3 linked regions of the Elephas maximus indicus genome follow. The protein of the gene in region 3 purifies or fractionates together with the protein of the main gene of each other region. This does not show direct contact. Links are inferred from orthologs where the notes say so. Each region holds a gene or a part of one and is shown on either strand. Other genes may lie near its edges. The genes, in order: signal transducer and activator of transcription 5A, WWOX and ERBB4.

Region 1 (7,457 bases), on a different chromosome or scaffold from region 3:
GGTGGAGCCAGAGTTTGTACCAGGACTTTATGACGCCAAAGCCTTGTGTTTTCCTCTCCACCACACTGACTATATGAAAGATGAGGAGGCTTGCACCAGGTGGCCAAGGCAGGAATGGCACACCAGGTAGGTGGAACACAGGAGGCAAAGACGTGAGGTTGAGGGAGGTCAGTGTATTGGGGCAACGACAGGGCTGAAGCATGGAGTGAAGGGAAGGCTTATGCTTGGCACTGATCCCAGCAGGCAATGATGACCAAGCCAGTAGCCAGAGAGGAGGGACTGGGGCATTAGCCAGGTCTTCTTTTTGGCTTTATATCCCCCATTTGCTCCTTGGGCTAGCACGCCCTTTATGAACCTTGGAGCACAGCAGCAGGCAGGGAAGATGTGGGTGGGTCTACGTGCTTAAGAAATCAGGAAACGATGAGAAACAGAGACATGGAGAGGAACTCCCTCCAATCATAACAAAGGCAAGTGGGAGAGTGGTGGGGGTGGTAGGGACGGAGATGGACAGCCCCCCCCAACACAATGCCTAGAGGGCTTGAGGTTGGGTACAGGGCTGGCTAAGGCACAAAAGAGTTCTTGTTGGGCTGAAGAAGGAGAACCTAGCTTAGCGGGAAGAGGGGCCTGATAGTCATCGTGAATCAGGATGAGAAGCAGACCTAACCCTGGGCTGCTCAGGACAGCACCAGCCCCACTCAGCGGCCCAGCCCCATCCAGTGGCTCACCTCTCCTCTATGAGGAGCACTTGAAAAGGGCAGTCTCCCCACTCCCTTGCTGGGGAGCACAGACCCTGCATCCCCTCTCCTTGTCTAAAGAGAACCGGGCCTGGGCCCCTCTCCCCCAAGGCAGTTGGGCAGGGCAGCTGGGCAAAGGAAGGCAGAATTTCCCCCTTCCATCCACACTGTCCAGTCCTGCCCCCCTCCCCACACTCTTCCCAGAAACGGAAAACAGTCAATATGCCTCAGGCGGGATAGCCTTGTGTTCTCTTGGTGACTTCACTGTAAACTGGCTTCCCTGAAGAATGATGGGGGACAGGGGACAGGGGCAAAAAGGCAGATCAGGCTTTACCAGGGACCCAGCAGCGCCTTACCCTCCTCCAAATTCATACCAAATTCCTCACCATGCACAAAGATGCCCTCTTTAGGTCCTCATCTGTCTTCATGGACAAGAATGGGGGCAGCATTTCTACAGGGAGATCCCAGGGTGAGGAGGCTTGAGAACGGGCCTTCTAAGAGCTAGGGGATGGGGCTGGAGTGGAGGTGAACAAGCTAAGCAGAGACATGGTGGGGTGAAGCAGGATATTTAAGACCCCAAGGGTTTCAGCTCTCCGCCCCCCCCCCCCCCCACCTGGGTGCAGAGCTACTTCCTGGAATGCCTCCAGCTTTCCTGGGAAGGCCCTTCACTCCCACCCCCCCTCCCCCTGGCTCCCACGCAGCAGGAGCTCTCCTTGAAGAAGAGACTTGGAGCAGAGGAAACAAAGGCATCTCTGTCCACCTCCCCACCCTCAGGAATGGTCAGGTCAAGGTGACCTCAATCTGTTCTCCCCAGGTAGGGGCATCTGCAGGGCCTTTTCAGCTAACCTGGTCCCCAATGGCAAGGCAGGGGACTGGGGACAATTCTTTTCTTCCTCCATAAACTGAACCCACTTTCACATAAGGCCTCTATTCAACAGAGGAGGGGCATGGGCTGGCATGGGGGTGGAGGTGCCATGCTCCGCACCACACAACAGTTATGGGCTGACCCCATCAAAGGGAGACATCCACATTCTGCAAGTGTGTGCTGGGGTTGGGAGAGATGGAATGTCTGCACTGGGACCCTGCCCACAGGGCCAGGCAACGTGGATCCTGGTGCCGCTCACTGCTCAGACAGCTTTGGACAGCTCTCTTTCCTGGACTAACCAAAGGGGATGATTTTGGCCCCGTCTACGAAGTGTACAACCACGTTTGCTCACGAATATGCCATGATTTAGTTCAGAATATGTGTATAGTGTGCTAACTACAGACTAAGCTGGGGACGGTTATTATTCCTAATAAAATATGGCCAGTCTTCTCTTTGGTGAAGTATTCCATAAGATTTTTTACTTGTTCCTTACTTTTCACCTAATTCCGTGCCTTAGAATTGGGGGTGGGAGGCAGTAGGGGCAAGGAGGCCAGCCTGGGACCCCAGCTTAGTGTAGACCCTAAGCACTTTCTGATCTTCCTGAACCCCAACCCCTAGGCCTCAGTTTTCTCCTTCATAGAATGGGCCCCTAAAACCACCAGGTGCTTTGTGGTGGGAAATAGCAGAGACCAAACCAGGGGACTGAAAGCAAAAAGAAACCCCAAATTTGACATTTCCGGGTAGTTGTGTTATCTGGAGCCATGACCACAGCCGCCTCTGCCCCCAACCCAACTCTGATGTCCTCCCCTCCCCCACTCCCTTGGGTGGCCTTTGCCAATCCTGGGAAGGCTCCAAAACTCCTCTCACTCCCCACTGCTTCTCAAGGTGAGAACACAGACACAAAGACACAAAGAAAACAGGCAAAGAAGGACACCCAGCTCTGTGTCTGATCCTGCCTGCTCATAGCACAGAGTGGGAGGAAGGAGAGAAGGGATTGTGATTTCTCCTCCCTAAGGTTCTGCTGGTGGCGTACTGGTTAAGTGATACGGCTGTTACCAAGAGGCTGGCAGTTCAAATCTGCCAGGCACTCCTTGGAAGCTCTGTGGGGCAGTTCTACTCTGTCCTATAGGGTCGCTATGAGTGAGTCGGAATCGACTCGGCAGTGGGTTCGGAAGGCTTTCCTGGGAAACCCTGGTGGTTTAGTGGTTAAGTGCTATGGCTGCTAATCAAGAGGTCGGCAGTTGAAATCTGCCAGGCGCTCCTTGGAAACTCTCTGAGACAGTTCTACTCTGTCCTATAGCGTCACTATGAGTCGGACTCCACAGCAGTGGGTTTAGTTTTATTTTTAAGGGTCTCCTGGAACATCCGTGGGGTAAGGTTTCCCCAGTCCTCTACGCACCCCTTATGGTTTTCAATTCCCTTCCTTGTGACCTTACCAAACATGGAAAGAAAGGGGGATGGGGTGGGACCCAGACATTTCACCTACTTACACTTTAAACCTAAATGTTTCTTTGAAGTAAAAACATTGAAAGTAGGGGAGATAATGGTGCGATCAGGGAGGGGTAAGGGGGCATGGGGAGCAGGGAATGGAGAGAAAAGGGCAGATCTAAGAAGGGATTTGGGAGGGAGGGAGGGAGGCAGATGAGAACGAGCCCCGGAGGACATGCAGCCTTGGCCCAGCTGTGCTGTAAGTGGGCAGCCAAGCTGGCCCCTCCCTTGGTGCTGCCAATACCAGCTGCCAGAGAGAGGGGAGGCCCAGGGGAGAGGGAAGCTGGGCAAAGGGAATGGAAGGGTTCCAGTTTGGCCTTACCCAACCAGGAGAGCCCTGTTGGGGGGCTGTCAGAGGGGGCAGGGTTGTGACCCAGGCAAGGTCCCTGGAAGGGGGTTGGCTACTGTGGCAAGGTCTACAGGAGGCTGTAAGGGCTGTGAGTGGGATTCACGACAATCCCTCCCTGGACCTTTTGAAGGTAGGACCAGCCTCAGATGTAACTGGGCTGGGGTGAGGGGAAGGGCAGGACAACTTATGGACCATACTCAGGGGACTAGATCTAGCTGTGTGACCCTCGCAAGCCCCTTCCCCTCTCTAGACTTCAATTTCTTATCTGCAAATTTTTGGAGGCTCAATACATGAATGTCAAGGTCCTTGCCCGTTCCTACTGCAGCGGGTGAGTCGACGGTGCTGGGACTAATGGAAAGAGGTGCTGGCGGTGAGCTCCACTTCTCTGGAATCCCCAGGCCTTCCCCTTGCTAAGCTCTGCCTCTGACTTCACAAAACCTGTGCCCCCAACCCACATAAACACACACAAATTTTTTTTTTTTTCTTAATCTAGAGACAAAAGATGACAAAACGCCGGAGCTGGAAGCCATCTCTAGCTAGTCCAGCCCTTCCCACCTCCCTTTTCACAGATGAGAAAACTGAGCCCCTGGTTTGGGATTTCCAGGGCCCGGGGTTTTCCAGCCCTACCCTACACCCCCAGCGGCCACTCCTGCGCCTGTTGCCCGCCACCATTCCCGGACGCTCCTGCGGAGCCTCAGGCTGGCTGGGACTCCCGGGGGACCCCGCCGTCGGGGCAGCCCCCACGCGCGGCGCCGCCCAGCCTCGGGGCCCGGGGCCCGGCCGCGGCCGCCGCTGCGCACTCGCCGGGGAACCAGCGACCGAGGGCGGAGGCAGGGAGCGAGCGAGGCGGCAGGGAGGGGTGTTGGGAGAGCTCGCGCGCTGTGTATGGTCTATTGGAGGCAGCTGACCTTTGAGGAGGAAATCGCTGCTCTCTGCTCCTTCCTGTAGTAACAGCCGCCGCCGCCGCCGGGAGCTCGGGCCGGAGTGAGAGTCGCTGGCGGTTAGCCGGCCCCGCCGCCGGACGGCTCTGCCCCATCAGGTGGGTGAGTGGCCTGGCGGCGCGTCCCCGGCGGTGCGCGCGATAAGGGGTGCGCGCCTCCTGCCCGGGTCCCGCGCCCTGGGACCCCAGGGGCCAGACGGGAGGAGGCAGGGAACAGTCCCCGACTGAAAAGGAGCTTCGTTGCAGTGCGCACAGCTGACAAGGGAAGAGGATGGAAGGAGGGGGCCTGGCCCGCAGTGGGGAGGGGGCGCTGTCGTGCTGGACAGGTGACTCGGGGGCGCGGCTCGGGGGCCCAGCCGATGGCCAAGCGTCCGGGCCCCAACCCCCTCTGCTTAACAACTCCAGCCGCGTGCCCGCCGGGACCCAGCCGTCGAGTGAGAGTGGTCGCTGGCGCTGGCCTAATTTGGACTGTAACTACCCCTTTCCCAGATATTGGGACTCGGGGTCCGAGGCAGGGAGGAGGGGGAAACTCTTGCAGCCCTCCTGAGGACTTTGGCCCCGCTGCCATGTTTCTCTTTCAGTTTCTGGCAGTCCCCCCGCCCGCGCCCCCCCACCCCCTGGGGAAGCCCCGGTGGGGCGAGGGGAGAGGAAGAGGGGGAGGGCACCTGACTCTCGAGAGCCCCTCCCCAAGCCTCAGCGGGTTCCTTGTTAGAGAGAAGGGCGGCCTTCCCCTCCTCACCGTCTTTCTTCCCGCACAGGAAAGCGTGTCTGTGGGAGGGGAGGGGCTTGGCCTGACTGCGGTCCAGGGATGGGTGGGCACGGCCCGGCTCAGGGAGGCCCAGCTCTTGGCCTCTGTGGAGGAGGTGACCCTTCAGCCTCCGCTTGCCCTAGGTGAACAGCCATGGCGGGCTGGATCCAGGCCCAGCAGCTGCAGGGAGATGCGCTGCGCCAGATGCAGGTGCTCTATGGGCAGCACTTCCCCATCGAGGTCCGCCACTACTTGGCGCAGTGGATTGAGAGCCAGCCATGGTAGGTGGCCCCAGCCCTGCGCCCTCCTCTGCAGTCCCTACCATTCAGGCCCCTTGACCTCTGACTCTCCGCTTTGTAGATTGGTGTGACTCTCCTCCAGTCTGTCCCTCACTGTGCAAAAGGGGCGGTGTCCCTGGGAAAGGGGAACAGGGAAATGGAGAGGGGATGTTTCTAGACTCTGATGCCTGTGGAACTACCGGGAGCAAGTCTTGTGGGCCCTAGAGTGCCCTTAGTCACAAGCCTGGGTTTTCCATGCCCTTCTTGGTGCCCCACATCCTTGTCCAAGCAGGTGCCATAGTAGGCTTCTTTCCCCTGTCCTGCCCCAAGGGATGCCATCGACCTAGACAATCCCCAGGACCGAGCCCAGGCCACCCAGCTCCTAGAGGGCCTGGTGCAGGAGCTGCAGAAGAAGGCCGAGCACCAAGTGGGGGAAGATGGGTTTTTACTGAAGATCAAGCTGGGGCACTATGCCACACAGCTCCAGGTGGGTGTGAGCGCTGGGCCATCTATAGGGAGGCAGTGTCCGTCTGCCTTCTTCCAGCATCAGAGCCCCTGGGTTTTTTTCCTGGCCTGGCCGCTGACTCACAATGTGACCCTGAGCTTATCTGCAACTTTTCAGTGCTTCAATTTCCCCCACCCCCTCTTTCTAAATCAGACATGTCAGATTCCTTTACCATATTACAAAGCAAGGGGTGTTGGATGTTTGTCCCAAGAGAAGGAAGATGGGTGGAACAGCATGATGGACAGATCAAGCAAAGGAAGTATCTTCAGTGACAGCAGAAGGGATGGAGGTAGACTGAGTCAGGATTCCTCTGTTGAAGGAAGACTGGCAGATTCTGAAGTGAGGGAATATGGCAACCAGACACCCCTCTTGGGGCTCTTTGAAACCTGGGAGAGGAGCTGAACTGAGGGACGGAAAATGAGCAGAGTTGTCCTGAAGGCAAGAGCTGGATAAAAGGGCCTGGAATGGAGAGTTCAGATGTGAGGCGTAGTTTTACCTTCACATGGGGGAAGGGGAGAGGGGAAGGAGAAGAAGTTTTTGTGGAAGCAGGAAAGGGGTGTAGGTGGTGATCACAGTCAAGCATATATTGAAACTCACTTGTATTTCTTAATTTCTTAGAGAGCCTTAAATACAAACAGCACGGTCCCTGGGAAATAAAAAGTCCATCCCAAAAGAAGGAGAAAACAAGAGAAACTTGGGGTAGGGGGAGCAAATTAGGAACCCAGGAGCAGGGGTATAGTGGAAATTGCTTTGATCTTGGCATTAGATGCCCTGAGTCTCAAACTTGAGTTAGCTGCTTGCTCTCTTGTTTGCCTCTGGACAAGTACTTAACCTCTCTGAGCATCAGTTTTCCCATCTGTGATGTGGACATAATAGTTTCAGCTTATGTCATGGGGTTTCTATGCTGTGAGAGCCGAAGGGGATGGTAGATTGGAAGTGCTTTGTAAGCTGTGAGTTTCTAATTCACTGCCGACCAAACATGAAGACCGGGGAGGGGAAGTCGAGTCAAGGAGAGACAAGAGCTGTCTGGTGATAGTTCCTGAGGCTTCCTGGGGAAGGCTGAGGCAGAGGCTGGAGGAGAGGAAGGGGTGGTCATGGCACTGGATGGACATGGCTGGAGCAGAGTGTGGGCACTGGTGGTTGCTCTTGGATTCTTTCAGAACACATACGACCGCTGCCCCATGGAGCTGGTCCGCTGCATCCGCCACATTCTGTACAATGAACAGAGGCTGGTCCGAGAAGCCAACAATGTAAGTGTCCCATGGGTGTGGGAAGAGGAGTTGCGAAGTCCTTCCACACGTTCTTCTCCACAGACACAACTGCGTTTCTATAGAACGCTGGCATGAGGAGAACCAGTGAAATAAGAGACACAGGCAACTGTGAGAGGCAGTATTACATTCAGGTACAGAGTGACTGCCCATGTTCAATCTCGGGCTTTACCGCTTGCTAGCTGTCTGATTTGGGCAGGTTACTTAACCTCTCTGAGCCTCTGTTTCTTCCTTTGTAAAATGGGGATAATAACAGTACCTATCTCATAGGGTTGTTGTGAG
Region 2 (7,832 bases), on a different chromosome or scaffold from region 3:
TTCAGAAAATCAAGTTCATGGTCTCTCACAGCTGTAAAGGACTTTACAAGTTACCTAGTTTAGTGGATCCCAATCTTTTAGATTTCACACAATAGAGAAAGACTTTTGTTTTTGGTATTTGTGTATTATTTTAGTGAGGTGGTTTAAATTGCGATGGTCACCTTTCTACTTGTGTCAAGAAGGTCACTTTAAAAATTAACAAAACAAAAACAAATGAAAAAACACTTGCCATCCTATCATCATTATTTCATAAAAGATAGAATATTTTAACACTGAAAAAGTTGGAAATAATGCCCAAAGCTTCTGTTTGTCCCCTCCCACCCCTGTCCTAGCTCCCAGGGGTCAGGCCCCACTGTTAGATGGTAGAGATAATGAAGCTTTTTCCCTCCAGCCTGATCAGAGCCCTGGTGGCTCAACAGTTGAGTGCTCGACTGCTGACCCAGAGGTTGGCTGAATGAACCTACCTAGCGGCTTCACGGGAAAAAGACCTGTTGATCTGCTTACTTAAAGATTACAGCCAAGAAAATCCTATGAGGTAGTTCTATTCTGTCACATGGGGTTGCTATAAGCTAAAATCGACTTGAGGGCACCTAACAACAACCAGGAAAACGTGGTAGTGTGGTGGTTAAGAGCTACGTCTGCTAACCAAAAGGTCGGCAGTTTGAATCCACCAGGCACTCCTTGGAAACTCTATGGGGCAGTTCTACTCTGTCCTATAGGGTCACTATGAGTCTATGAGTTGGAATCGACTCGATGGCAATGGGTTGGAACAACAACCTGCCTGAGAGGTGAAACTGGCTTCTGGCTGTTGCTAGTCTCTCGTTGTTGCTAATCATCAACCCCTATTTGTCTTCTCAGCTCTTCCATAACCTGCAATGAATTCCAAATGTGGACACACTGGAGTCTCTTTGCCTGATTGGACCCTGGCAGGTACATTAATAACATGTGTTGACACATTTAATCTTATAATAACACTATGAGGTAGGCACCACTATTATTTTCCATTTTTCAAAGACTCTAAGGGAAGTTAATTGACTTGACCAGGGTCACACAGCTTGTAAGTGACATTAATCAAAAAATCAAACCCATTGCAATCAAGTCAATTCTGACTCATAGTGACATTATACCAAAACAAATCCGTTGCTGTTGAGTCAGCTCTGACTCATAGTGACCGTATAGGGCAGAGTACAACAGCTCCACAGGGTTTCTAAGGAGGAGCTGGTAGATTTGAACTGCAGACCTTTTTTTGGTTAGCAGCGGAGCTCTTAACCACTGCGCCACCAGGGTTCCCATAGTGACTTTAACCCCCCCCAAAAAAAACAATCCAACCTGTTGCCATCGAGTCGATTCTACCTCATAGTTGAATTCCAAAGATAAATTAGGAAACCCTGACATCTGGGCTCTCCCCTTCCTTGCCTACCTATAAATCTTGATCTTAATTTCTCTTAGAACCCTCACATCATAGTTCTTTGTGTGTCTGTTGGTGTTATCCCAATTGACTGTGATTTCTGAATATAGCGAGTGTCTCATTTTCTCAATATTTTTCCCTCTGAGACATAGTGTATTTTTTTTTTCCACTCATATGTTTGAATGAATAAGTGAAATACAAACACACCTTTCCAAATAAGACCACATAGACCAGAAAAGAGTTTTTCCTAAAACACCTGTTCATCATTCCTCTTTGCTGGTTATCTCTTGGTAAAAAAGGTTAACAGAAGAGCCTTTATTGGGGTGTGTGTTTAGTGTTGGGAAGGAAATGACCACCATCCTCCTGGTAATGAGAATAAACTAAACCAATGAAGCTTTAGAAATGTTAAGGCAAAAACTTGTGCCCACTGCATATGTTTTTTTGAGTAGTACCAAATTTTGTTTTCAGCAAAAAAACAACAACAACAAAAAAAACCAGTCTTATGTTCATAAATTGTCAGATATTGCAGAAGTAATAAGAAAGCTGAAACGTAGAAATCCATAATTTGTCATGAGTTGGGCTGATAGGGCCATCTGGTGTCTAGTTGTATAACCACACTTTTTTTTAATAGTGTGAGCCAGTTAGCTTTTCAAAAACAAACCACTCTTTAGACTTTCTTAGGAGTACATTTTGAGGAGCTTGGCTCATTCCTGAATTTAAGGTTCCTCGAAACCATTATAATCGTACTATATAAGGGCCTGCCCTTTGATAAACCTTTTTAAAAGCAAAGTCAAAGCTATATGCAAGCTAGAAGTTATGGATTGGGGGGGGGAGGGGGTGGGGGAGAGAATGGAGGCAAAACTATGAGTAAACAGAGGAAGAAAGTAAGGAGAGAACAGAAAATGTGGCCCAAGAGCAAGGGGATTTGGGGGGGTGGGGGTGGCAAGAGACCGTGAAACCCATGAGAAAGAAAAAATGGGCCTGTCTTTGGGATCCCTCAGGCCCTGCTAATGTTATAGTTCATGTGTACAACCATAAATTCTTGAATGAGTCTTTAGTTTTTGTGAAGTCAAAAGAATACCCTAGAATCTGGCATGGTAATGCTAATCCTCACAAGTCCCCAAATGCCTGTATATCTTACTTTTTAAACCTTCTGATAAAGGCCAACAAATAAGATGTAAGGAGAGGGGGAATCAGATGAGGTCATGATAATCACTTGGGACCATTACTGGTGTCTGGGCCACCCACCCAGACTCCCTGCTGGCCCATGTCTCTCAGCTGCAGAGATGGGCTAGAAACTCAAGAGGCAGGTGTACTGGAACAATGCTACGGAACCTGTGGCTAAAACCAACAGGGTCCAAGTACCACTCTGTAGTCTCCTGTCAGAAATGGGCTCTTTGCCCCCCACGTCCCCATGGTGATCCCATGTATTTCAGAGTAGAACTCCTCCATAGGGTTTTCTTGGCTGTAATCTGTACAAAAGCAGTTTGCCAGGGCTTTCTTTCTCATAGCCACTTAGTGAATTCAAACCACCAACCTTTAGGTTAGTAGTTGAGCAAAAACAGCTTGCAGGACCCAGGCTCCTCTGGTCAGGGGTAACCCAAGATAATTATCTAAACAGTCAAGTCAGTCTTTGAGAAGCTGAGCACTGGCCACAGATAATGATTGGAGATACTGAGGCTAATCAGTTTGGCCCCATTCACCTGCCTTCCCACCACCAGGGGCCTTTAAGACCTAATTTCCTATTCATATTAAAAGAATGAGCGGGCTTGGGTAAGGTTGGGGGGTAAACCGGGGTGAGCAGAGGAGCAGCAGATTAACATACATATGTATTTATATATATAAAATGGCTTATTTAAATACACATGGATTTGGGAAAAAAATCATGTTTCGATAGGTTCGAGGTGGGATAGCAGGTCTGTTAAAATTAAAATGTGATTTCATTTAGTTAGATTTTGATTGGGCAATTTCAAAGGAAAGCAAGAAGTCTCTCAAGAGCATGCAAGCAGGTATCTAAAGCAATACCAATTTCAGGACTCAAAAAGACAAAAATAATACTGCTCACTTACAATACGTATTATTTTTTTTTCTGATACAGGCCTGTATATTTCTGAGACCTAGGCCAGAGAAATCATGGTCAACAGATCTCCCTGTAACACAGGGCTGGGAGCCAAGTTGCAAAGGGGGACTGTTCTGGAAAACTCTGTAACCAAGGCCTAGTTGAAGATATGCTTCAGGTTTTTTACACAGGACATTTGTAGGATGCTTGTCAGTGCTCCAGAGCCCTGATAGTGTAGTGGTTAAGAACTTAGCTGCTAACCAAAAGGTCTGCAGTTAGAATCCACCAGCTGATCCTTGGAAACCCTAGAGACAGTTCTACTCTGTCCTATAAATAGGGTCACTATGAGTCAGAAGGGAAACCCTGGTGGCATAGTGATTAAGTGCTACGGCTGCTAACCAAAGGGTCGGCAGTTCGAATCCGCCAGGCGATCCTTGGAAACTCTATGGGGCAGTTCTACTCTGTCCTATAGGGTCGCTATGAGTTGGAATCAACTCGACGGCACTGGGCTCTGGGTTATGAGTCAGAATTGACTTGATGGCAATGGGTTTGGTTTGGTTTGTCAGAACTCCAAGAGGACTTGAAGAAGCCTGCTTTGTAAATTTGAAATTTTGTTTTTAATTAGGGTTGATTCATAAAGGACCACCCCTAAGTGATGAAGGAATCACATTCACTCATTTCATTCATTCAATAAACGTGTAGGTCCAGGCATTTTACTAGATGTTAGTGATAAAAAAGAAGCCTAAGATACGATTTCTCTCAGTGTAGTGGGGAGTACACAGATAATTATAATGCAGTAATAGTGTATCAACTGCCCATATTCCCAGCTCTTGGCTTTCTAGCTGTGCATCCTTGGGTAGTTAGCTAACACCTCACGAAGGTGTCCCATACATGACAGAGTTAGTCTGTGAATTTCTAACCAGGGACCCGATGTTAAACGCTCGATAAATGTTAGTTATTAATGGAATCACGCTGAAGAGGGACGAGACTTCTGTCAGACTGCCTGTCACCTGAAAACGCGGGAATTTGCATTTTTAACGTTCTCCAGGCGATTTATAGGCCCAACAAAGTTTGTGACTCACACACAGCCTGGGTGATGGAGAGCCCGGGAAGGTTTCTCTGAAGGGGCATTCACTCTTCATAAGGCCCTAAAACAAGAAAATGCTGCAGTCCGGCGAACCACCCTCGGAATCTTTTCCTGTTGGCGCCGCTTTCTAGCACGGGTGTGCCTGGACTACATCTCCCAGGATGCCCCATTGCTAGAGCTCCCGCAGGATTGGTCAGAATAACGCGGAAGGGATTACGCTCTCCCAGCAACGGGTGAAGCCCTGGACAGTGACAGGATGCGCACGCCCCTTCCCTGCGGCCTGCAGCTTGACGAAGCGCCACTCCATTTCCAGAAACGTGGAGCGTTCTCCGGCTTTTAATTCCAGCCGAATGGCCGTGCGACCTCCTAGGTGCTTTCACCACGCTTCTCCTCGGGCCCCGCCCATTTTCGCTTGGCAGTTTTGAAACTCTGGAGACTGGATTGCAGCTACGGAGTCAGCTGAGCGACTTTGGGCGGCGCAGTGCGCAGGCGCGAGCGGTCGGGGAACAACGCGCGCGGCACTCGGTTGAAGCGGGAGTTTCTGGGTGAGGAGACCCGGCGGCAGGCGACCCAACGAGTGGGTGACAGAGCACCTCCTCACACCGCCATGGCAGCCTTGCGCTACGCAGGCCTGGACGACACGGACAGCGAAGACGAGCTGCCTCCGGGCTGGGAGGAGAGAACCACCAAGGACGGCTGGGTTTACTATGCCAAGTAAGGGGGCCGCAGTGGGCGCCGCCGGGCCAGGACGCACCTGGAACCCGACGGCCTCACGTGCCCGGCCACTCCACTGCCCTCGCACGCCACCTGCGCGGCACCGTGGGCCTGCGTGGCGAGGGCGGTGCAAAGTGGAAGTAATTGCTGGAGAGTTTCAGCTGAAGGGCTTCGCCGGTCCCGAGAAGGGGCTGGCCCCTCTTCTTGAGCCCTGGGTCAAGCGAGGGTCACCTGGCAACGTCAGGCGCGCCCTCTGCTGTCCAGGAGGCAGCACTGCACGGCGCAGTGGTGGGCAAACTGGCCTTATCCAAAAACAGTAATACAGAAGATAAAACAACGTGCAGAAGTCCACGTCCCTCCTCGGGGGTCTGGGGAGGGGGCCTGGGAATATGTACCTTTTAACAAATGCCTTACAGAGTTTCATTATCCTTTCCTGGGAAAGTCCTGAAAACGCTCGCAGACCCTTCAGAGTCTTAGCACCATCATTTGTTTTATAACCTTGGGCAACTGAAAAAAACACTCTCAGTTTTCTCATCGGTAAAATGGGTTGCTATGAGGTTGGTCCAGGCACTGTGCGTAAAACACTTAACAGAAGGTGTCTTAAATACTAATAATAAAAGTAATAAATAATAACTGTTAGCCTTTCCCACTGTCTCTGCAGCTAGGGAGTGTCTTAAGTACAAATACTGAGTCTCCACAAGGCCCCTCTTTTATTACACTGACATGGGTGACTGGTCTTGACTGGTTCCCATAGCTGGAAGGTACATCTTTCCAGACCTCTGCTGGGCGGTCTGGTCTTTGACCTTTCCTAAGCCTGGATTCTCAACAGTCCCCTTGATCTCTCCTGACATGTGTGAGTGTCTCTGGCCTTTCTTTTCCCTCCTAACTCTGGAAGGGCCACTAGTCTTTCTCTTGCGGGTTGGGAAACTTTGATAATGTGCATTCACAAAGATTGTCCTTCAAGTCATTTTTCCAACATGTTTTCCTTTCACTGCAGCAGGGCCAGGCCCAAGGCCAGGGCTGATGGGACAGAAGCTGTAGCTCCTATTGAGACCTTGTGGAAACCCCTTTTCCAGCTTTACCCTTTTCCTGCTTACCAGGTCACCTTTACTGATGCCCCATGTGTACTGAGAGACACCTTGCATGGAACCCCCACCAGCCTGGGGTCTCCAGGGAGAGGCAGTCATCCACTGTTTCCAGGGTCTTATCAAGTAAGGGGAGCTCTGGGACATTCACACCCACTGAGGGCAGACCTCCCGCTAGAGAGAGCTAGCCAGTCCTTTCTCCCCTCCCTGCAGTGGTCTAAAGTGGCCCTTCTGTGGCAGATGGGTGGAGGAACAAGGTGCCGGTGCTGGGGTCTTCCTGAATCCTTCCCACTCGCCCCTTTTTTTCTGCCCAGGCCTCTTGGCTGCCAGAATACAGCCAGCCTTTCCCTGTTGAAAGGTGGTTCTTTTCCACAGGATGCTCGCCTGGGCTCTTCTTCCTCACTGTGAGCTCTAGATCTCTGTGCCAACTTACAGAAACTATGCTTAAAAAAATCCAAAAACTTGGACGAGCATACATGAAAGTGATGTTCATATAATGTAGTATAAATGTAATTTTGATCCCTTTGGTTTGAATTAAAATCACCAATAATTATTTCTTTAAATGACAAAAAGCTTATTGAAAAAAAATGAAAGAAGGCTTCTATTTAAGGAAGATAACACTTTGGGGACTTGTTATAATTTACTCTTTATTAAAAACTTACTTTAGGCTACAATTAAAAAGAATAACTTTTAATTAATTTTTACATGTAAGTCTTCACTTTGAAAAACTGTGTGGAAGGCATAGTTCTGAGCTCTTCACACATGTTAGCTTGTTCAGTCCTTTCTATAACCCTGAGTAGGTGTCACCATAGGGATGCCTGGTGGTAGTGTTAAGCCCTCAGCTGTTAACCAAAACTTGTGAGCAGTGTGAACCCACGAGTGGCTCTACAGAAGGAAAGACCTGGTGATCTGCTCCTGTAAAGGTTGCAGCCTAGGAAACTGCATGGGTCAGTTCTACTCTCTCGCATGGGGCCTCTATGAGACGGCACCTAACAGCAGCAATATGTGTTACTATTATGTTCATTTTACTGATGAGGAAACTGAGGCACAGGGAGGTTAAACAGTATCTTCCAGGGCATGCAGCTGGTAAGTGGGAAAGCCAAGCTCCGGAGTCCTCAACCACAAAATTACTCTCTTCATTTAGACCCAAGGGTTCTGCCTTCAGGGCACCTGTGCCCCTCAGGACAGATGTGTGCCGCAGGCTGCAGATCTGAGCCCTGTGTTCCCCTGGCAGGAATTTGAGGTCTATCTCTGGTTGTTATTGTCTTTGAGGGGGCTGGGATTGGGGATTACTGTCCAGTGACTCGCTTGTTCCTGTTCCAGGGAGCAGGTGCCTTAAAGATCCTCAGGGCAGACTGGAAACGGCCGGTGTAAGCTGAGAAATTGAATTAGGCAAGGGCCTGCTCACTCCGACCTGGTGTGATGCTTCCTGTCCTGCAGGTCACTTGGTCTCTCTCATCCCTTTCGCTTGTCTTTTTC
Region 3 (7,539 bases):
TGGGAACACACAGCCACACACATACAGTCACAAACACACGGAACCTCCCTCACGCCCCAGACAGTAACTTGGTTTTATAATAGCACTACATTAAAACCAGTTTAACTTTCCCTGCCAGGTGCGGCGGCGTACAGGGGGAGAGAGGATGAAAAAAGAAGTCCCCAAGGGCATTTACAGTTTCCAGTGGATCACCTGAGTATGCGTGTTGCAATTAGACCAGGGATGCGCCCGAGAGCTCTTTGTGCGGCCCTTTCATCTAGATCACTTTGTGTTTTGAACAAGTGAGGCTCGCCTTTGTGCCCCTAGAATTTCAAGTACAGAGTCACACAGGGAACAACAATGGTACGCTAATCCTTGCGCTCTAAATGGGCTCACTTGTGGGTCTGACAATTCGCCCGGGGGAAGTGAGAAGAGACTAGCGAGGGCGCGAGCCGGTGTCGCCTGAGACGAGGAAGAGGACAGCTGCAGAACTAATTTGGATTACATTCCTTGCAAAAATTCTGAAAAGGGCTTTTCGGCATAACTTAACCCCCGAGCCGCACAGTTAATAACAAATTGCTGCGGACTCGAGTCGGGTCCCCCAGCGACTAAGGCTGCACCAGACAGCCCCCAGTAGGTCGCTTCCTTGACATTCCTCTCAGCTAACCCTGCGTGGCAGTCGCAACTGCGTTTGAATGGGTCAATGTGCGTAATCAACCCATTGAAGGAAAATATGAAGGGAATCGGAGCGGGGCGGGAGATAAAAAAGGGATGTTATCTAAGAGGCCGCTTGGAATCTCCAGACCGTGTTGTGTTGGTGTGACAATTCTGGAGGCGGCTTGAGAGCGGGACTTGGTATGCATGAAGAATTTCGGAGTAATTGGGAGGGTACAAACGGCCAGCGCCAACGGTGCACATGTGCCATTCGAAGGTCATTTGGAAAGCCTGGACGATTATAACTTGTTGTGTACCAAGGCAGGAGGGGGAGGCGGCGGAGGCGGAGCGGGAAAACTACTGCGCGCAGTTTTCTTGGTGAGGTCAGAAGGACACACTCCGGGGGCCTAAAGCTCTCCCTATCGCCTCCTCCGGAAGCTTTATCTCCTCAAGCCGCCTCCCACGCTCCCGTGACCAGCCCCGGATGAATCCGGAAATCTACCCGGCTCTCCAAAAGGCCCCTGTCCCTCGACTCGGCCACGGGTTCCCCTCTGTTCTCCTTTCCTGTCCCACTGTCATCTCCCAGGAAACTCAAGTGTCAGAAACTTTGCGCTCCCTCGCACGGCAGGTGCAGTCAGCAGTCCTGCCCGCCGGGAGCGCCGGCCCCGCTGCGCTGCCTTTAGGGATTCACTGAGCCCAGGGCCTGCCGGGGTATCCCGGGCTCAAGTTCTCCAGCAAACAGTGGCCGCGCCTGGAGCGCAGCCGCCGCGCCCGCCTCGGGGTAAATCAATTCGCGCGACGGGCCGGCTCCGCAGCCCCGCCGGGCTGTAAACAGAGAACTTGGAGGGACTCCGGCCAATAGCAAGTTGAACTACAGGAACAACTCTTCCCCGAGCCAAACACAGCAACCGCCTCAAGTGTGCCAGGCCTTTTTTTTTTTTTTTTTTTTTTTTTTTAAAGAGCTCAGGCTGGCAAGTCAGCGCCCCTCAAGCCAATGCACTCCCAGACGCCGGCCGAGGAGGCCCCGGGTTCCGGGCCCCCGGACCGAGGCGAGCCCGCCTGCCGCGCCCCGGCTGCCCCGGCTGGGCTCTAGTTAGGTCTGACCCCGCAAGGCTCGGCGACTGGGGGCGCAGCGCCCGCCAGCACGCACACAGGTGCAAGCCCGCTCTCGGAGCTCCCCTTCCACAGCTCGTTCCCCTTTAGGAGCCCGCCAGGCACCGCCACCCAGCCGGGGCACGCTTCCCCCAGGCTTCTTCCTTTTCGGGCAGAGACTGCGAGAGGCTAGCGTCCTCTGACTGAGCTTTTGGCTCTCGCATGTCCCGGACAACAGGCGCGACCACAGGGATCCCGCTAAGGCTCACAGAAAACGCGAGAGAAAGGGGAGTTTAAGAGAAAAAAAAAAAAAAAAAGAGGCGGGCCGGGACGCAGAGGGATTTTTCACCAAAAGCAAAACACATACACACAGGGTAAGTTTAGGAATGGAAAGAAGGGCTACCGAGAGCCCAAAGAAGAGGCCCCTATCGGGTGGTCCTTTCACGCCTGGGAGTGAGCGGGTCTCCGGTTGGACCAAGAGGGTGAGAGAGCCACCCGTGGCGACCAAGCCGGCGGCAGCAGGTTCAACAACTGGAGCGCGAGAAGCAGGAACCGCGACCCACCTGACTGAGAAGCGCTGGGCTGGACGGTCCCCGCCGCCACAAGAAGGCTCACCCAGACCCACAGTCCTGTCGCCAGCTTCATTTTTTGGAAGTCTCAGATCCCGTGCTGACAATTACATGTCCAAATGGCATATCCCCTTTCTGGCACGCGGAGAAGATTCCTCAGCCCGGAGCGCGTGGGGCGCGAGGGGGGCTGGCGGGCGGCGCGCGCGGCGAACCGCTTCCGAGGCGGGTGAAGGAGTCCACGCGCACGGGGCCGGGGCCGGGGCCGGGGAGGGGGCTCGAGTATACGTGCGGGTGTGTGCGGTGGGAGTGTGCTCGAGTGTGTGCGCGTGGTGCTTCGGGCCGGCCGGACTGGGCAGCTACGTCCCCGTGTGAGCCTTTGCTTTCTCGCTCCCTCCTCACTTTCTCTCTCGCTCTGGTTGGTCAACAATAAAAAGGAAGGGGGAAAAAGGTTTCCAAAAAAAGTTGATTGCAAAGAGGCGGTAGGTTTCCGGCCTCTCCACCCCAGCCGGGCTACGTTCGGCTCCTTTTTCTGGGTCCCTGCACCTCCAGTCCAAATCAGGAGGGAAGGGGCGGGCGGGGTGGGGGGAGCTTCTCGCTTCTCCCCTGATTCTGCCCTTCTTTCCCTCGCAGCTTTTCCTCACACTTGTCCGGCGGCTGCGGTAATTAAAGCTCCGAGCGTCATTTCCAACGCTCCGCGGTCTCCAGCTGCAGCCCCACAGAGAAATTAATGAGACTCCGGAAAAATAAAATAAAACAGCCCTCCACGCAACCAAGCAGGCTCTGCTCAGCCGCGCAATCCCCGCCCCTGCTCTGACCCTACTAGCCACGCCTTCTCCCCCGCCCCCCCCAAAGGGAAATCTTATTGGCTCAGCCACTCCCCAAAATCCTCGGCCTCAGGAGTTGGGAAAACACCTGTCAGGGAGATGGAGAAGGGTGTTGGGGGCGGGGGAAGCTGGTATTAAAGGGCTAATCCGAGGCCACCGACTAAAACACTCCCCCTCCCGCCCCGGCAGAAGCCCAGGACAGCTGGCCCGCGGAGTGGGCAAATTACCGGAGGGGTGTTTAAAGGTTGTTTCGTAAAAACGAAGTCACCATTCGCCATTGCCCCAAGGTGCTAATCCACAGCCAGAGACATCCCTAGAAATAGAAGCAAAATCCACGTCGCTTCGGGCAAAACATTTCCCTCCTTCCCCTGTTCCCCCATGCTCCACACTAAGCAAATAGTTTAAAACTCAGTACTGACTTTTGGGTAGTGTGAGCCTCCGCAGATTAGGTAGTGGTGGGGTATAATCATCCTCCTTCCCCATCTATGCAGTCTCTCCCAACACCCACCTTCCCAAACTGGCTGACACTGAGCCGAACTAAAACTCCACATTTGTATGGATTGTAAAATTTTTGGAGCCCTGCTGGTACAGTGATTAACAGTTGGGCTGATAACCAGAAGGTCGGCAATTCGAATCCACCAGCCTCTCTCTTTGGAAACCCTATGGGCAGTTCTACTCTGTCCTATGGGGTCGCAATCAGAATGGACTGCAAGGCAATGGGTTTGATTTTTTTCTTGGGAGGGGGAGGTAAAATTGTTTGGATTTTAGACTTTATAGGTGTTTTCACCCTTTTCTTGGGCTCTAGGACAACTTGGTTTGGGTTTATTCTCATTATTCAGATTCTAGTCCAAAGGTATTGATTTGGTCCTGAAAAGCTAGAAGTTGCCCAGAGTGTGAGCTGTTTAGTATGAAAGAATTTAAGGCGGCCAAGTCAGGAGATAACGGACCTCAAATGATTAGGATTATTCTATAGTGAATCAAGCTTTAGGTCCCTTCCATGTTCTCACTCTGCAAGTTCATGGTCCCAGTCCCAGGTCATTGCTAGCTCTGGAAGTCTCTGGCCTTCCCTGGATCTAAAATATCCTGGGACCGGGTCATATCAGTATACATACCCCTTGCCTTCTATAACTCTGAAACTATACCCAGGGCAGGGGCCAGAACCTCCTGAGGGTAGTAGGTTATTGCTTTGCAATTTGCACAGGCATTTCACGTATGAATTATTTTCCTTTTGCTTTCTCTAGAAGTAGCAAATACATAAATAGAAAGTATCAGGGGAGCTTAAAAATCAAGCCATCCTGCCTCTTCACTCATCATTTAAGACCTCTCCTTTGTTCCTCAGCTTTTATCTAGAGCTCTGTCCCTTAAGAATTTCCATGGAGCTGAGAACAGATAGGAAGAGCAGTCTTATCCCAGAAGCCTGAAGCCTTCCCTCTCAGGCCCAGAGCAAGTAACAGGCCTTGAGAGGAGGCCAAAGGAGATGAGCATGCTCTGTTACCCAGAAGCAGCCTAGGGTGGGAAGCAGTTAAGCCTAAAGGAGATGATGGTGACTTGACCAGAATGGTACTGATTGTGCAGAACTGTGCTTACTGCTCTTTGGGATCATCTTTGTTTTCTACTTTTATCTCCCACCCCCTCTGGTTTCTTTCCTTTCATTCAATCTCTTCTCACTCTTTTGTCCTTAAATCCCCTTCTGCTTCTTATGACTCTTAGACACCTCTCCTCCATGAAAGCTACTTCTTTTTAAAATTTCCATTATTAAAAAAACTAAGTCTTTGTTTCTGATACCAGTTCTGTTGTAAGAAGTGAGAAATGGGTTATTTATTTTACCTTAAATTGTGGGCAAAAAATAGTCTGGATATTTTGGGTTTTTTTTTTCTACTCATATCCATTGTGATCATTTTTACCACCCACTCCCCCATCAATTTTATACTTACTCTTCTGTGGCAGGAATTCCATACATCTTGGTCTCACCCATCACCTCTAGAATAATTCTTTGCAAAAGAGGGTTTTCAATTAATATTCATTGGTTAAAAAATTAGTCTATTTTGTATGTGTGTGTGTTTGTGTATATATACTAGATAGCCTCTACAAGGCCTCAGATACTCAGTTTGTTCTGCTTTGATCCCATTTTCCTCTCTCTAACTAATTGAAACATGATTGGTCCTGGTTAAAAGTGATTGTCTGACCAGCAGCTTGTAAGATGGATTGGCATGAAAGCACTACCAAGCAGAAGCATCCTACATTTCAGGATGACTGGTCTTCCCAATCAGAGCCTAGTTCAGATCATTTAAGACCTGGAGATGTAGACAGGAGGGTGGGACCCTGTGGGGGCAAGTCTGAAGGATGAGAAATTAGAAGCCATGAGGCAGAGACAAGAATTAGTTCTTTCTGTATATGCTGTCATTTTGTTTCTGGTCTCGGCTGAGTCATAAAGAAGGAACACCAGAGTAGGGACAATTTACTACCTGATGTAGAAGGAGGGATATACTAACTGGATTGCTAGAGGCTTGCTAAAATTGATCTCTGTACTTCTTCACTTTCCTATGCATCTTTATGATAAATCTCTACCAACTGAGTTACATGTGTTGTTGTTACTCGAAATCTGAAAAAAAAAATAAATAAAACTGACTAATCTAACATGGTTGTATCTACAGGTATTTTACTAACCAACAGACAAACACCGGAGATTATCTGCTTAGTACCCCATTTCGAGGAACTGCCCTTCCTCCAGATCTACATTTTTAACCTGAATTTGCCTCTATGGTACAGCCTACCCCGACTCTCCAGTTCTACACTGAACCAATCAAAATGCCTAGGTTACTGTTGATTAGGTGAAAAATGGTCACTCCCACTGAGACTCTTCCCTGAGACTGTGTGCATGAGAAAGAAACAGCTCATATTCAGTCTTTCATTGTGGCTTTTGAGATCTAGATTTACAGACCTGGCCTGGCTATGTTTCTTTCTATGTAGAGATCACTAGGCTGCAGTAAGAAAGAATGAAGCTGCCATTTGAAAGGAGCAAAATCCCAGATGGGTCTGGAGAATATCCAAGCTCTTCCTGAGGCTTATTTTTTCAAACCCCCTTTTTCCTTCAGCTAGTTCAGTTTTCATTTTTGTTACCTGAAACCTAAAGAGTGTAAAATGGGACCCTCCAACATAAATGAGATTATATATGCCAGTATGATCCTTGAAGAAGACATCTTGATATGGCCAATATTGTTGAGTCTCCTTTCCTGGTTTCTCATGATTTCCTTTGGTTGAAGCCATAACCATGACATATAGATGCCTTTGTCCAGGGCTGCTCTCCTGAATCCCCTCTCCACTTCATTTTTTCCATTAGTAATATAATTTAAAAAAAAGAGTTCTGATATCATGTGTGACAGAATGATGATGGTGCCAGAAAGAAACACACTGAACTGAGTGTTCAGTCTCGAAGTAGATCCCTAGCGTTGTCCCAGAATTCCACAGTTCACATAATCTTTAGTTTGTTTCTGAGATTAGAGATTGCTGTTAGCACATTTTGCCATTAGTTATATATATATAAATTGGGGACAAATATCAACTAAGAAAAGAAATGGAACGCTATTGTAAATCCATTATCTTCTTATGAATATTTAAAAATAAATCTAGGGTTCTATTTTTTTCTCCCCATTCATTTTTCTAAGTTATCTTGTGATCTTGAGATAGTTACTTCATATGCTTCATATGCCTGTTGTTGTAAACTCTCAATTTCAAGACTTTATGGGTCTATGATTTACTAACCATCTACTAAGTGTAAGTCATAATTTTCACAGACTTTAATACTCTCTCATACCTCCTCCTTTCTCTTTCCCGCTTACCCACAATACACATCTCTGTCTGGACCACCCACGCAGACACGTGTCTTAAACTACCTTAGGAAAATATTCAGATAGGCTCACAGTTATATCACTGTGTAGTGGTAAAGAATTGAATGTTTACTGTTCTACCAGTTAAGAGGAAATGTTGCTGAGTACCAGTCAGATTCAGTATTATGGTGATCAAGCAGATGACAAACACAATATTGGTATTTTCTGTTTGCTTTTTAACTCAGCACTTGAAATAATAGCTTTGCTCTTAAACCTCTGATTTCTGGCATTCTCTGATATTTGGTGACATTTAATTTTTAAGGCCAAAGCTCAATAAATGTTTGAATATATTAATATGCACTAACCAAAGAAATGTTTTTGTTACATTAATTTAACACTCAAAGAAGTCCTCCCCAAGATCATTTTGTTTTGGGTTAATAACTGTTGTTTTCCTTTTATATACGTGATTAAGCCTTAATTTTTTAAGAGCTCAGGAGGTGTGACTAAAAAGTAAATCAATTCCGTGTTGCTTTATGTCCATTCATCAGTGTCTGTCCAAGTTCTTATAGACCTTTCCGGTTTGTGATTGAAACT

Evidence for each region.
Region 1: the proteins of ERBB4 (region 3) and signal transducer and activator of transcription 5A purify together in Homo sapiens (affinity purification with western blotting; 3 studies listed by BioGRID, with this or other methods). This does not show direct contact. The link is inferred for Elephas maximus indicus from reciprocal best matches to the Homo sapiens genes ERBB4 and STAT5A.
Region 2: the proteins of ERBB4 (region 3) and WWOX purify together in Homo sapiens (affinity purification with western blotting; 4 studies listed by BioGRID). This does not show direct contact. The link is inferred for Elephas maximus indicus from reciprocal best matches to the Homo sapiens genes ERBB4 and WWOX.

The regions. Positions count from the first base shown.
Region 1 is NC_064837.1:49,224,035-49,231,491, forward strand, and holds the start of signal transducer and activator of transcription 5A, read left to right. Parts: upstream 1-4,389; 5' UTR 4,390-4,475; exon of another isoform or gene 4,476-4,479; intron 4,480-5,267; 5' UTR 5,268-5,277; coding exon 5,278-5,405; intron 5,406-5,732; coding exon 5,733-5,889; intron 5,890-7,067; coding exon 7,068-7,157; intron 7,158-7,457. UniProt on the Homo sapiens protein: Carries out a dual function: signal transduction and activation of transcription. Mediates cellular responses to the cytokine KITLG/SCF and other growth factors. Mediates cellular responses to ERBB4.
Region 2 is NC_064839.1:43,875,952-43,883,783, forward strand, and holds the start of WWOX (WW domain-containing oxidoreductase), read left to right. Parts: upstream 1-4,827; 5' UTR 4,828-5,161; coding exon 5,162-5,268; intron 5,269-7,832. UniProt on the Homo sapiens protein: Putative oxidoreductase. Acts as a tumor suppressor and plays a role in apoptosis. Required for normal bone development. May function synergistically with p53/TP53 to control genotoxic stress-induced cell death.
Region 3 is NC_064824.1:111,015,170-111,022,708, forward strand, and holds the start of ERBB4 (receptor tyrosine-protein kinase erbB-4), read right to left. Parts: upstream 3,073-7,539; 5' UTR 2,371-3,072; coding exon 2,289-2,370; intron 1-2,288. UniProt on the Homo sapiens protein: Tyrosine-protein kinase that plays an essential role as cell surface receptor for neuregulins and EGF family members and regulates development of the heart, the central nervous system and the mammary gland, gene transcription, cell proliferation, differentiation, migration and apoptosis.